Rattus norvegicus: one gene and its partners. The protein of the gene in region 3 interacts with the protein of the main gene of each other region in a pairwise test. Links are inferred from orthologs where the notes say so. Each region holds a gene or a part of one and is shown on either strand. Other genes may lie near its edges. The genes, in order: Insr, Ntrk1 and Sh2b1.

What was found.
Region 1: the proteins of Sh2b1 (region 3) and Insr interact in binary tests that used the Homo sapiens proteins (3 or more experiments, as listed by UniProt). The link is inferred for Rattus norvegicus from reciprocal best matches to the Homo sapiens genes SH2B1 and INSR.
Region 2: the proteins of Sh2b1 (region 3) and Ntrk1 interact in a two-hybrid assay, tested with the Homo sapiens proteins (2 studies listed by BioGRID). The link is inferred for Rattus norvegicus from reciprocal best matches to the Homo sapiens genes SH2B1 and NTRK1.

The regions. Positions count from the first base shown.
Region 1 is NC_086030.1:5,999,794-6,003,315, reverse strand, and holds part of Insr (insulin receptor preproprotein), read left to right. Parts: intron 1-958; coding exon 959-1,069; intron 1,070-1,243; coding exon 1,244-1,403; intron 1,404-3,340; coding exon 3,341-3,470; intron 3,471-3,522. UniProt on the Homo sapiens protein: Receptor tyrosine kinase which mediates the pleiotropic actions of insulin.
Region 2 is NC_086020.1:175,548,841-175,552,992, forward strand, and holds the start of Ntrk1 (high affinity nerve growth factor receptor precursor), read right to left. Parts: upstream 2,810-4,152; 5' UTR 2,749-2,809; coding exon 2,537-2,748; intron 2,456-2,536; exon of another isoform or gene 1-2,455. UniProt on the Homo sapiens protein: Receptor tyrosine kinase involved in the development and the maturation of the central and peripheral nervous systems through regulation of proliferation, differentiation and survival of sympathetic and nervous neurons.
Region 3 is NC_086019.1:190,484,325-190,488,646, reverse strand, and holds the start of Sh2b1 (SH2B adapter protein 1), read left to right. Parts: upstream 1-1,515; 5' UTR 1,516-1,732; intron 1,733-3,240; 5' UTR 3,241-3,323; coding exon 3,324-4,262; intron 4,263-4,322. UniProt on the Homo sapiens protein: Adapter protein for several members of the tyrosine kinase receptor family.

The DNA of each region.
Region 1 (3,522 bases), on a different chromosome or scaffold from region 3:
TACATTAAAACTCTGTTGGTGAGCCAGTGAGGTTATTTCAATTCCTTGTAAGAGTATGGGTTCACCTACACGAGTGTGGATGGTGTGCATAGGTACCTAATCACCAAAAACCCCATCCTCGTCCGAGTGTTGGCTCATGAAATCTGGAATATCCGTGCTCTCTGCACAACTTAAAGGCAGCTTGCGAGATGGTAGAATCTATTCTATCTAAAGCTTTTACTACTAATTTAATCCTAGAAAGGTTGTTGTTGGTGGTCTTGTGAATCTTATTAATTTTAAGAACTTTCTTAGATGTATGAATTATTTACTTCCTGGACAGTGTAAGCCTCTTTACTTTCTCAGTCTTAAGAAGCTTCCCTCAATTCCTTCAATTCATTAGAATTTGCTAGCTATCAGCACCTAAATGCCTTGCTCTTGCTGACATTGAAGCAGATTCTTGACCTCCCTCTCAGACATTCTATTTCAGGGAAGACAGTTCCCAAACGGTACGGCATGCTGGGAGAAATTAAAGTGAGGGGAAGAGGATTGTAGTATATTTGAGCAAAGCCTTTTTTTTTTTCTTTTTCTTTTTTTCGGAGCTGGAGACCGAACCCAGGGCCTTGCACTTGCTAGGCAAGCGCTCTGCCACTGAGCTAAATCCCCACCCCATTGAGCAAAGTCTTAAAGGGTGTGAGACGGAAGCACATGTGCGTGGGAGGGAGGGAACAGGCTACGGAGAGCGGGAACTGTAAAGGTCTGGAGGTAGGAACATGGTTTATATACTGAGGCACACTAGGCCAGTGAGCTTTGCTTGGAATGTTCTCTATACGAGTGGGTCTGTTTGTTCCCTTAGACTAGGGCTGGCCATGCTTCATCCAAACAGGGTGGCCTGTGTGCTATAGGCATCAGACAGAGAGTTCATTGTCACTTACTATAAAACCTGGACCCTTGTCAAGTCACCTCCATGCTTGTTCTGTAGGTCCGCCTTCTTGGGGTGGTGTCCAAAGGCCAGCCCACATTGGTAGTGATGGAACTGATGGCTCATGGAGACCTGAAAAGTCACCTCCGTTCTCTGCGGCCCGATGCTGAGGTAAGCTGCCTCCAGGCCCCTTAGCAGGCCCCCGATCTAAGTATACGATAAACGCTAACCCATGTTTGACTTTAGAATGACCCTGGCTACACCCCCAAGCCCCCGACACACACCCTGTAAGAGATGATTTAGTTGGAATCAGAGTGCTAACTGCAACCCATGTTTTGACTTTAGAACAACCCAGGCCGTCCTCCCCCTACCTTGCAAGAAATGATTCAGATGACAGCAGAAATTGCCGATGGCATGGCATACTTGAACGCCAAGAAGTTTGTGCACCGGGACCTGGCAGCTCGGAACTGCATGGTTGCCCATGATTTTACTGTCAAAATCGGAGGTGTGTCTTCAAATCTGTGTGTGTGTGTGTGTGTGTGTGTGTGTGTGAAAGAGAGAGAGAGAGACTGAGAGACTGTGTGTCTGTGTATGTGTGTATGTGTGTGTGTGAGAGAGAGACTGAGAGACTGTGTGTGTGTATGTGTGTATGTGTGTGTGTGAGTGAGACTGTGTGTGTGTGTGAGAGAGAGAGAGAGACTGAGAGACTGTGTGTGTGAGAGAGACTGAGAGACTGTGTGTGTGAGTGTGTGTGTGTGAGAGAAAGAGAGAGAGACTGAAAGACTGTGTGTATGTGTGTGTGTGTGTGAGAGAGAGAGAGAGAGAGAGACTGAGAGACTGAGAGACTGAGAGACTGAGAGACTGTGTGTGTATTATGTATTATAGGGTATAGGTCACATGGTAGATTCTGGGGTCCTAAATTCAGGTCCTTTTGCTGCCTGAAAAATACTTTTACCCACTCTGGGTGTTTTCCCAGCCCAGAAAGCTAAGATTTCTATTCTAGTTTCCTTTTTGTTTCTATCAAAAATAAGTGAGTAAATAAATAAATAAATAAATAAATAAATAAATAAAACCACTCGGGGAGGAAGGGATTTATTTCACCTTGTAGTCTATTACTGAGAGAAGCCAGGGAAAGAACTTAAAGTAGAAACCATGGAAGAATGCTGCCTCCTGATTTGCTCTGGTTCATATTTTGCTAGCTTTTCATGTATAGCCCAGCAGTCTCTTCCAAGGGAATGGTGATGCCCACAGTGAGCCTAGCCCTCCTATATCAATTAGCAATCAAGACATTCCCCATCAACATGCCCAAAGGTCAGTCCAACATAGGTAATTCTTTAGTGGAGGCTTTTCTGTCTGATGCTAGCCTGTGCTCAGATGACAGTTCAAATTTACTATGAAATTTAGTAGAGGTTCTGGCAAGACCAAAGGTTGAGTCAGAGAATGCAGAAGAAAGAGGCAACAAACAGAAGCAGAGGCTAAGTGTCTAGAATGCTGGTTGGAATGTGTGGGTAAGACAGGTATAGAGGGACCCAAGGACAGTGAGCCGTGCGGTTAAGCTGAAGGCCAAGAAGCAGGCATGTACGAGTTTTGTAAGCCTGCCTCTCAGTGAGAATTGCAACCAGGCAAGGTCCCATAAAGATCCCAACCCCCCCCACACACACACATTAGAGAGAAGAACCTATATATGATTCCAGGAAATATTTTTCTACATAACAATGGGAGTCATACAGGAATACACCCAAAGACATCAACCTATATGCAGGAAGATGGGACATCATTCTATATTTATGATCCTAAAGACCTTCTACATTAACAACGACCACCCCCCCTTCTAAACCCAAGGGTGGTGGTGCGTGTATCTGGACACTTGGGGAGGTAGAGGCAGGAAGATAAAAAACTCAACGTCATCCTCAGCTATGTAGCAAGTCCAAAGTTACCCTGGCAAATGTGAGAGCTCGTCTCAAGAAAGAAAGAAGCAAAACCAATGAGAACTGGAAGGAGTGTGATTCTGTTCACATAGCTGCCCTTGTGTAGGAGGATGACCCAGGTCGGAGGATGTACAGGGAAGGCATGGAGGTGAGCCAAGACTTTGCAAAGGGAAATGAGAAATGAGATGGGTTAGAGAGAGACGCAGAGGCAGAGAGGCTGGCTTGCCCACTGGGAGTGTCAGCAAGAGACAAGGTCAAAAGGAGACCCCAAGTGTAGTCGAGGGAGCAGCAGATTGTCTGGGAAAGGAAAAAGGTCTATTTGGGACACTGGGAAAGGAGTAGGTGGGAAGGATGACAGCCCCTGTTCTCCGTCCACACCCTCCCACACACCTCAAGAATCCCCTCTTGGCGAATTCGCCTGCCACCTACAGGACCTCTAGTGGTGCTTGGAGGGGTGGAGCACTCAAGATGCTAGGAGGATGACCTGAAAAGCCTGTGAACTGTTTGTTGTCAGACTTTGGAATGACGAGAGACATCTACGAGACAGATTACTATCGGAAAGGGGGCAAGGGGTTGCTGCCCGTGAGGTGGATGTCACCCGAGTCCCTGAAGGACGGAGTCTTCACTGCTTCTTCCGACATGTGGTGAGTCATGCCTACGTGGGTGGGCGTGGGTGCCAGGCTTCAATGTGGGTAT
Region 2 (4,152 bases), on a different chromosome or scaffold from region 3:
GAGTCTCCCGTGCATACACAGATAAGGTGTGAAGACATGTTAGCCAGTGCCCACTGCCATTCTCAGCTTGGGCTCCATTTTTCTAGCAGACTTCTCCAGCATATATATGCTCAATGACAGGGGACTGTGCTAAGACTCACTTCCACAAGAGACAAGGCTCTCGGAGGCGCTTGCTCCACCCAGTGCTAAGGATGCCCCAATTGTCATACTACTGTGTGCTCCCAAACATACGTGCCCTGTGGACACCATCTGGGTTCATTGACACCAATCACACACACACACACACACACACACACACACACACACACACACTCATGGTCCCCTTATACCTTTGGTTCTTCCCCACAGCAACCCCTACTCTCTCCTCTCCAGCACTTTCCCAAAGCAAGCAAGGAGCATAGAGCTGTTGCCCCCCACCCCAGCCCCTCCTTAATTGTGAGGGACCCAGGAAGGGAGAGAGGATTGGGAAGGGGATGGAGTCTGAGTGAGTGGGTGAAGAGAGATGGAGATCTCACAGTGCGAGACACGGAAGGCTGGAGGAGGTGGGTGGCAGAGGGAGGGCAGATAAACAAAGAGTGGAAAAACTCAGAAGAGATTGACAGCAAGAAGACAGTGGGCTGGGGCGGGCAGGAAAGAGACAGATAAGGAGAGGGAGACCCCAAGACAGAGATAAGGACTTAGGAGTAGGGAGAATGAGAACCAGGGAGGCAAGAAAGCAAAACAGACGGAGAGACGGAGCGAGAGCAAGCGGCACTCGGGGGCGGGGTGCTGTGGGCGCAGTCCCATCTTGTAGATCTGGCATCTAAGAGTTCCTGTGAACTCACGCCCTGTAATGATATGTCCTCCTCTCTCCTCTCCATCCCCATGTGTGCTAGGGGCCCCCCGACTCACTAACCGTTCTCAGAACTCTTCCCCTTGTTTAGGAGCTTCCCCTTAGTTAAAAAGAGCAGCAAGGAGCAGGTCAGGCCAAGGGACCCTGTCCTTCTCCCATCCCAGCCTTGTCCCCCATAGGATGGGTCTGTGTCTGCCCTCCCCCTGGAGGCCTAAGGAGTTGTTGCTAGCCCACTACTGAGGGAGTCCAGATCCCTGTTCTGCCCCCAAGGGTTTCGAGCTACAGAGACCCAGGGAGTTGCTGAGAGGATCTGTAGAGCTGGGTATGTGCGAGCTGTCAGGCAGTGTGCTTCATGCCGCCTCATTTGTTCAGATTCATAATCTGTCTGTCTATTCGAGTCCATTAGCTCCTTGTTAGCTATGCGGGTGAGGGAGGGGGGAGAAGTCTGTGCAGGAGGAGTTGGGAGCATCAGGCCCCACCCAGGGGGGACAACTCAATTCACCACTCTGCCAACCTCTTCCTCTATAGCCCAGGCTTGCCCACTACTCCTGTCCCTGGGCTGGACTCCCTTGGAGTCTTGAAAGGCTCTGGGGGAATGAGAGCCTTGATGGAAACAGTCAGGAGGCTGGACGCTGGTTTGAATGGACAGGCCTGGGAGCAACCATCTAGACTTCATGCCCCATCCCAACCTGCAGGAGCCTAGACCCAGGCCAAGACAAGGCCATCTCCTCTGTTCTTGGTCTCCCTAGGGCCATTAGAGAGAGATTGAGTACCTCCGTTAATTACCACAAGATGCCGGAGTAACTCGGTGCCAATCAGCTGCAGGCTGCTAGCTGCCCAGCAAGCAGAATACTCAAGTATTTTCCAGCCATCACTGTGTGATGTGGGGGTCCCTTCAGGTCAATTATACTCTCAAAGGTTTCACTAGCTGCTACAAAATACTTGAGTATGTTGTAACCGATTATTGCACATTGTCAAAGTACTGCAGAGCTGAAGGTTCCTCCTCCCAGCTCTGGACCTGGAAAAAAGGAGAATCTCTATGCAACGGCCTGCCTGACGCAAGTAGGGAGACAAGGTGAAAGGAGAGATGGGCGAGCAGAGAGAGAGGCAAAGGGGTTTCTTTTCCTCGCATCCAAATCAAGAAGTCTTGTGGTCAGTGGAGAGGAAAGGAGTTCAGACACCAAGCTGGTTCCTCACCATCTCCCACCAACTCCAGCTCAATCGCAAATCCAGAGAAGAGCTGGATCCCCCTCCCCCGCCCCCGCATGGCAAGGAAGAGGTTGGGGGCTGGTTCCCCCCTAAGAAAGAGTAGATAGCAAAGGTGCCGCCACACTGCCAAATTCTGCACAGCTGACCACTCCTTCATGGACTTAGGGACTTGGGCTCTTGATTGAACCCCACAAAAAGGTTCTTATCCTAGATCGCTAGACCAAAACCTGATCCACCGAGTTTCAGTCTTGCTCTGCCCCAAACCAGCACCACAGTTAGCTACCCTTAATCCTGGGCGACATCCAGACAGTGACTGCGCGGCTTTGCCAGGGTGGTGGCAGCGGCAGAAGCCGCCCCAGCACAGCCAAAGGCTACACGTGCCCGTCTCCTACAGCAGCCAAGCCTGGCCCCTCAAGCCAGAGGTGAGTGCGCGCCCTCGGGGAAGGGCTCTGCTCTCCTGACCCCGCGCCCCTCCCCCCCGACACACACACTCACAGCTCCGTCAGGTTCCCGGCGCCCCGCAGGCCGCGGAGGGTATTCAGGGTCCCTGCCCTGGTGCAGCGCAACCCCGAGGGGCCCACGGGACAGCAGGTCTCACGACAGGATGCGGCGCAAGCACAAGCCAGCATCAACGAAGTCACCAGACCGCCTAGCCCCGCGGCCGGGCGATGCCAACCCAGCTGCCCGTGCCGCTGGCCTCGCAGCATCGCGGCGGCGCCCGCCTAGCTCGGGCCGCGCGGCCGTCCGTGCGCTCCTGGCTGCCGCCGCCCGGCCTCGCGCGACACGTGCGCGGGGCGGTGTTAAAGACTAGCCACCAGGAGAGGGCGGCACCCACGGCCCCGCCCCGCCCCGCCTGCCGATGCCCCCAGTGCCCCCTCCCCTTTCGGGGCCCTATTGCCAGCTCGCCTTCCTCATGTCCCTCACGGCTGCAGGAGACCTGGGGCGGGGGACTGCCACAGATTGCTTCACATGTGTCTTCTGAGGCTGGGGGAGCTAGGAAGCCGATACCCTATTTCTCACAGTAAAACAGCTGCATTTTCAGATTTGCGGGGACCAGGAGAGATTGAGCAAGAAAAAGGTTGAAGTCCGGGTCAGCCCAGCCAGCCTCACCGTGCACTTTACCTAAGAGAGTGTTCACGTCACTTGGAATAAGTTAGATGTACGCTCTCCAGACCCTAGTAAGGAAAGGGAGAGGCCTCGCTGAGGCTGGACGCAGAATCTGGGGAGGAAAACAGGGGTAAAGAAGAGTCCTTTGAACACAGCTGGAGGGAGATTGGAAAGTGGAGACCTCTCGGTCCTCAAGAGCCCACAGGGTGGCGCTAGAAGCCCTCGCGCCGGGGCGTTGCGATTGGCCTGGGGCTCCGAGGGCGAGGGCCGGGGAAAGCTGTTCGGAGCCTTGCTTGACTGTGCCTCTCTGGTCTTGGGGTCAGTTCCCAATCCTAGCCAGCCAGCTGCGGCCCCAGAGCCGGGGTTTGGCCAGGCAGACCAAGCCTGGCATCGATCGCCGTCCTGACAAGAGCATCGATTTCTGTGCGGAGAAATTAATAGATCTCTTAGTTCTTCGGACGTGTGAGCTGGGAACCGTTCTTGGTATTTGTGAACCTGAGAAGTCTCAGACCCAGCATCCAGGCCACCAAAAGGCGAGTCTTGCGCAATGGCCTTCTTGACTGCAAGCATACGTGTCACGTTTAAGAGATACCATCCCAGCATGAACTGTCCCCCAAGTGCCTCTGAACAAATACACATACAGAGACCCACCAAGCATCCTGAGTTCTTAAAAATAACCAAACGAAGGAGGAATCTCACAGAGACGACTCGCCTCCTAGAGATTTGAGCCAAAACCAAGAGACTTGACGGAGACATACCCCCGGCCCAAGAAATTATGTCCAAAGTAGCCTCAGGAGGCTGGGAAGGGCTGTGAGAGGTGAAGCACTGAGATTTTCAGGTTTCACCAGCGGAGTCTGACCTGTCCAGGCTGCAGGAAGTTACCCTGCAGATGTCAAAGCACCTGTTGGACCCCAGAACCACACACACACACACACACACACACACACACACACACACACACACACACACACATATCAAGCCAGGGAGCCCAGCTGCTTCCTCCG
Region 3 (4,322 bases):
AGTTGAACCTGGTCCTCTGCAAGAGCTGCCAGGGCTCTTAATCACTTAGTTTTCTTTCCAGATGTGTAACTTATTTAAATTTTATTACCATTTTGTATACATGTGAGCGGTGTGTGTGTCACAAGTGTGTGTGCCATGTTGGAAGTAAGAAGACAACTTTCCAACATCCTTCTCTTTCCACAGTGGGTTCCGGGGAGTGATGTCTGGTGATCAGGCTTGCACAGCAAACACATGCACTTTTACTCAAGAGGCATCTCACTAGGCTAGTTCTGGGAATTCTGTTGAAGCTCTCAGAAAAAGGGATACTCCTTAAACTGATTTTCTAAACCATTAGGCCTTAAATTTGAATCTATGGGAAACCTTCTTGCCGCACCAAGAGACTAGAGCCCCTCTGTGGGTGAAGGCAACCGCAGAGCAGAGTACAATCACAGATGACGAAGTGCAGACAGGTGGTATCTTTTGGCTCCTGCCAACGATACCAATCTACTCTGGCCTTTTCAATTATTTAAGTTGTAGTGAAGCTGGATCGATGCGAGCCTGGATTGCTAGAGGATATTTGTGTGCAAGGTCTCAGCAGCACTTTTTGTACATTCAGTTCTTCATCCCTCTAACTTGCCCTGAAGCCTCTCTTGAATTCCAAGCTCTATGTCCACGTACCTTCTGATGCCCCTTAAACATGCTCAAAACTAACCTTACTATTGCTGCCCCAACATTAGTTTCCGTCTAAGGTGGAGCCCTCCAGGACCACCTTGGCCCTTTCCTCTGAAAAACCCAAGGTCGTAAGTTCAGGCTCCGCCCGCTCACTCGGCCTCCCAAGGTCACCGCTACATCACTCGCCAGCTCCCTGGGGGCGGTGTCCGTGTACCCCTCGATGCAGGGCCAGGCGCTCTAGGCTGCAGCCAGCTCTTCAAAGAGCTTTATCATCTCGCTGATTTCTCTTAGTGGGCGGCTACTCTCTCCGCTCATGTGGCTTCTCTATGGTTAACTTCTCGCCTTTGTCTCGAATTTGCTTCGGATGACGCTCGGCTGGGACCCAACGCCTTCCCTTAGCTGCCTCAGTGGTTCCTTTTAGGTACAACTGCAGAAGCCACAGGAAGCTCAGTGAGATCTTCGTTGGCCTAGGTCCTGAAAGCTCGGCGCTGAGAACGATGGCGGAAGTGAGTACGAAGGTGCCCTCCCTACTGCTCTTCTCTATGGTCGTTTCCTTCCGCGTCGGGGAACCCGTCCTAGCGCCTGCGCAGAAGCGCGTGCTGGGAGCTCGTCGCGGAGGCGGGGGGCACAGGGAGCGGGAGCTGCGGCCGTCGCCGCCGCCGCCGCTGCCACCGCCGGAGCTAAGCGCGGGGACCGAGATGCAGGTGGGACCGGAACCGGAATCCCCCTCTTCAAGTGCCTCTTTCCTCTCCGGACTCGACCCTGTCGTCTGAGAAGCTTGGGCGGGGGTGGGCGTGGGGGATCGGGGTTGGAGGGGTGCTTGGCTCCCGAGAGGGTAGCAGATAGTTAGTCCCTCGGAGGCTCCGGCCCAGGGGCATGTGGAGGGTGTCCAACGATTAGGATCGGGTCCGAGTGATTGACCACGGGGCCCGGAGGGTCCGAACCTGGAGCGCAGCCTGCACCCTCCACCACCCGCCCTTCTGGAATGTCAGAACTAAGCCAAGAGGCAGGTGCACCGGAAAATTGTGACTGAGCCTTCTTGGCAGAAGAGAAACTGAGTCACCAGTCCAGGAACCGCAGGGTCAGCGGGCTTGAAGGGGGCTGGGTCGGCCAGTAGTGCTGAGGGCTGGGTGGGCCTGTGTGAGCCGAGGTTGCCTCTAGCTGGGAACTGTCTCTGCTGTGCCTGCACCTCTTGGCCCTGTTCCCCTGTGCTCTGTGACTCCCGCATCTCCTGGCTGCTTCTCCATGGTTTGGAGTTGTCCCTGTGGTTGGAGCCATCCGAGTATGTAGGACTGAGGCCAAGGAGGAAGGGGAGGGGTCTCTGACTTTCAATCTGGTTGTAGATTTGGTGAAGAGGCAGACATCACTAATAGTTTGGGTAGACTTTCCTGAACTGTCCAGAGGTGTCTTCTTTCAATATATCATAGGGCAGGACCACTCCTCAAAGAGCCACTGGTTGTAAATTACACACCGAGCTCTGTCCTTTTGTTGTGACTTAAGAGTTGGGACACCCTCAGAAGCTCTTCCTTTCTTGAGTTTCTCTTAGAGTAAATGGGACCCATAAAAATAGTGAGGGTGGCAGTGATGTCTTGTGTGCTTATTTTGTGTCAAGCACAGACATGTTCATTGCCATTTAATTTCTCCTGACAAGTGTAACAGGTAGACGTTATGAGCTGTGCTCCACAGATACAAAAGCTGGGTTCACATAGCTAACAGGTGGGCTGAGCTGGGGCTTTAGTCCCGGTCTCACAGGCACACCCCCCAGGGAGAGAAAAATCTTGAGTCCCGGCTCCTTGTGATGTCTTACTTACGTGGCTAGTAGAGACTTGTCCTGGCCCAACATACCGTCTCCTTTTCTCTAGCGCTGCTTTCAGTCAGCCCTAGACTACAGGGGGCAACCCAGAGAGATTGGCCATCAGCCAATCAGAGTCTCCACACGGGGCTTAAGTGCTGGGTTGTCAGATCAGCTTCGCAGACAGCTGATCCTTCGATCCATCTTCCACTTATTGGACCTATGATGCCAGGTCTCTAAACTTTGTAATCCCTGCACCCTTTGGCCCCCTGAGAACAGAGCAGTAGGAGCTGTGGTTGAGGCTGGTCTAGCATGTCTCTAGAGACTAGAACTATGCAGTGGGAAATGCAGTAGACTCTGAGTTCTGGAACTTGTTTGAATCTCTGTTTCCTCATCTGTAAGAGGTTATTAAGCTTTCTAAGGAAAGGTAAAATGACCTTGTGGAACCCTCTGGAATGTCCTATTTAAAGTGTGATGGTTAGGGAAGACTTTGTCTTAGAGAAGGGACGCTGCAGATCTGTAAGAGTCCTCTGTGGTGTTAGATGCTTCAAGACCCTTTCCTGGATCCCACAGCAGGGGGAGTGGTGGCAAAGGATGCAGGATGGACGTTGGGCTTAGTTAGCATCCCTCGTCCCTGGGGTATATGTGGGCTGTTGATCTTGAAGAGGGCAAAACAGTTTAATTCTCTTCCCCCATTGCCCTCTGAGGAGTCTGGAGGGGAGTCCCTGGTTTGGGCCAGGACATAACTCAATCTCACTTCTGCCGTAACTCAGTGTCTATGCCTCTTCTTTCTACAGCTGTTGGCGCTCACCTCGAGTCTTCTGGCTGCTTTCCTATTTGCTCCCTGCAGGCTCCCCCTGTCCTCCTCCTGGGGCACATCATGAATGGTGCCCCTTCCCCAGAGGATGGGGTTTTCCCTTCTCCACCAGCGCTGCCACCACCCCCTCCCCCAAGTTGGCAAGAGTTCTGTGAGTCCCATGCGAGGGCTGCTGCCCTGGATCTTGCTCGCCGTTTTCGCCTCTATCTGGCCTCCCACCCACAATATGCAGAGCCGGGAGCAGAGGCTGCCTTTTCTGGCCGTTTTGCTGAGCTCTTCCTGCAGCACTTCGAAGCTGAGGTGGCTCGGGCCTCGGGCTCACTCTCCCCACCTGTCTTGGCTCCATTGAGCCCTGGTGTGGAAATCCCACCATCACATGACCTGTCCCTTGAGAGCTGCAGGGTGGGTGGGCCCCTGGCAGTGTTGGGCCCTTCTCGATCTTCTGAGGACCTGGCTGGCCCCCTTCCTTCCTCAGTCTCTTCCTCTACAACGTCCTCAAAGCCGAAGCTCAAGAAACGCTTCTCCCTCCGCTCGGTGGGTCGTTCAGTCAGAGGTTCTGTCCGAGGCATCCTGCAGTGGCGGGGGGCTGTTGAATCTCCCTCCCAAGCTGGGCCTCTGGAGACCACATCAGGTCCTCCAGTTCTAGGTGGAAACAGCAACTCCAACTCCTCTGGTGGTGCTGGGACAGTTGGTAGGGCATTGGCCAACGATGGCACATCCCCTGGGGAGAGATGGACTCATCGCTTTGAGAGGCTAAGGCTAAGTCGTGGAGGGGGAACCTTGAGAGACGGAGCAGGAGTGATACAGAGAGAAGAGCTGCTGAGTTTCATGGGGGCTGAAGAGGCTGCCCCTGACCCAGCAGGAGTAGGTCGTGGAGGAGGGGCAGCTGGGCTGACCTCGGGAGGAGGAGGGCAGCCTCAGTGGCAGAAATGTCGATTACTGCTCCGGAGTGAAGGAGAAGGAGGAGGAGGAAGTCGCTTGGAGTTCTTTGTACCACCCAAGGTGAGCCCACAGGAAGGTGGGTAGGTGGGTAGCTGGAAGTGACAGTGGCTAGAGAGGTGG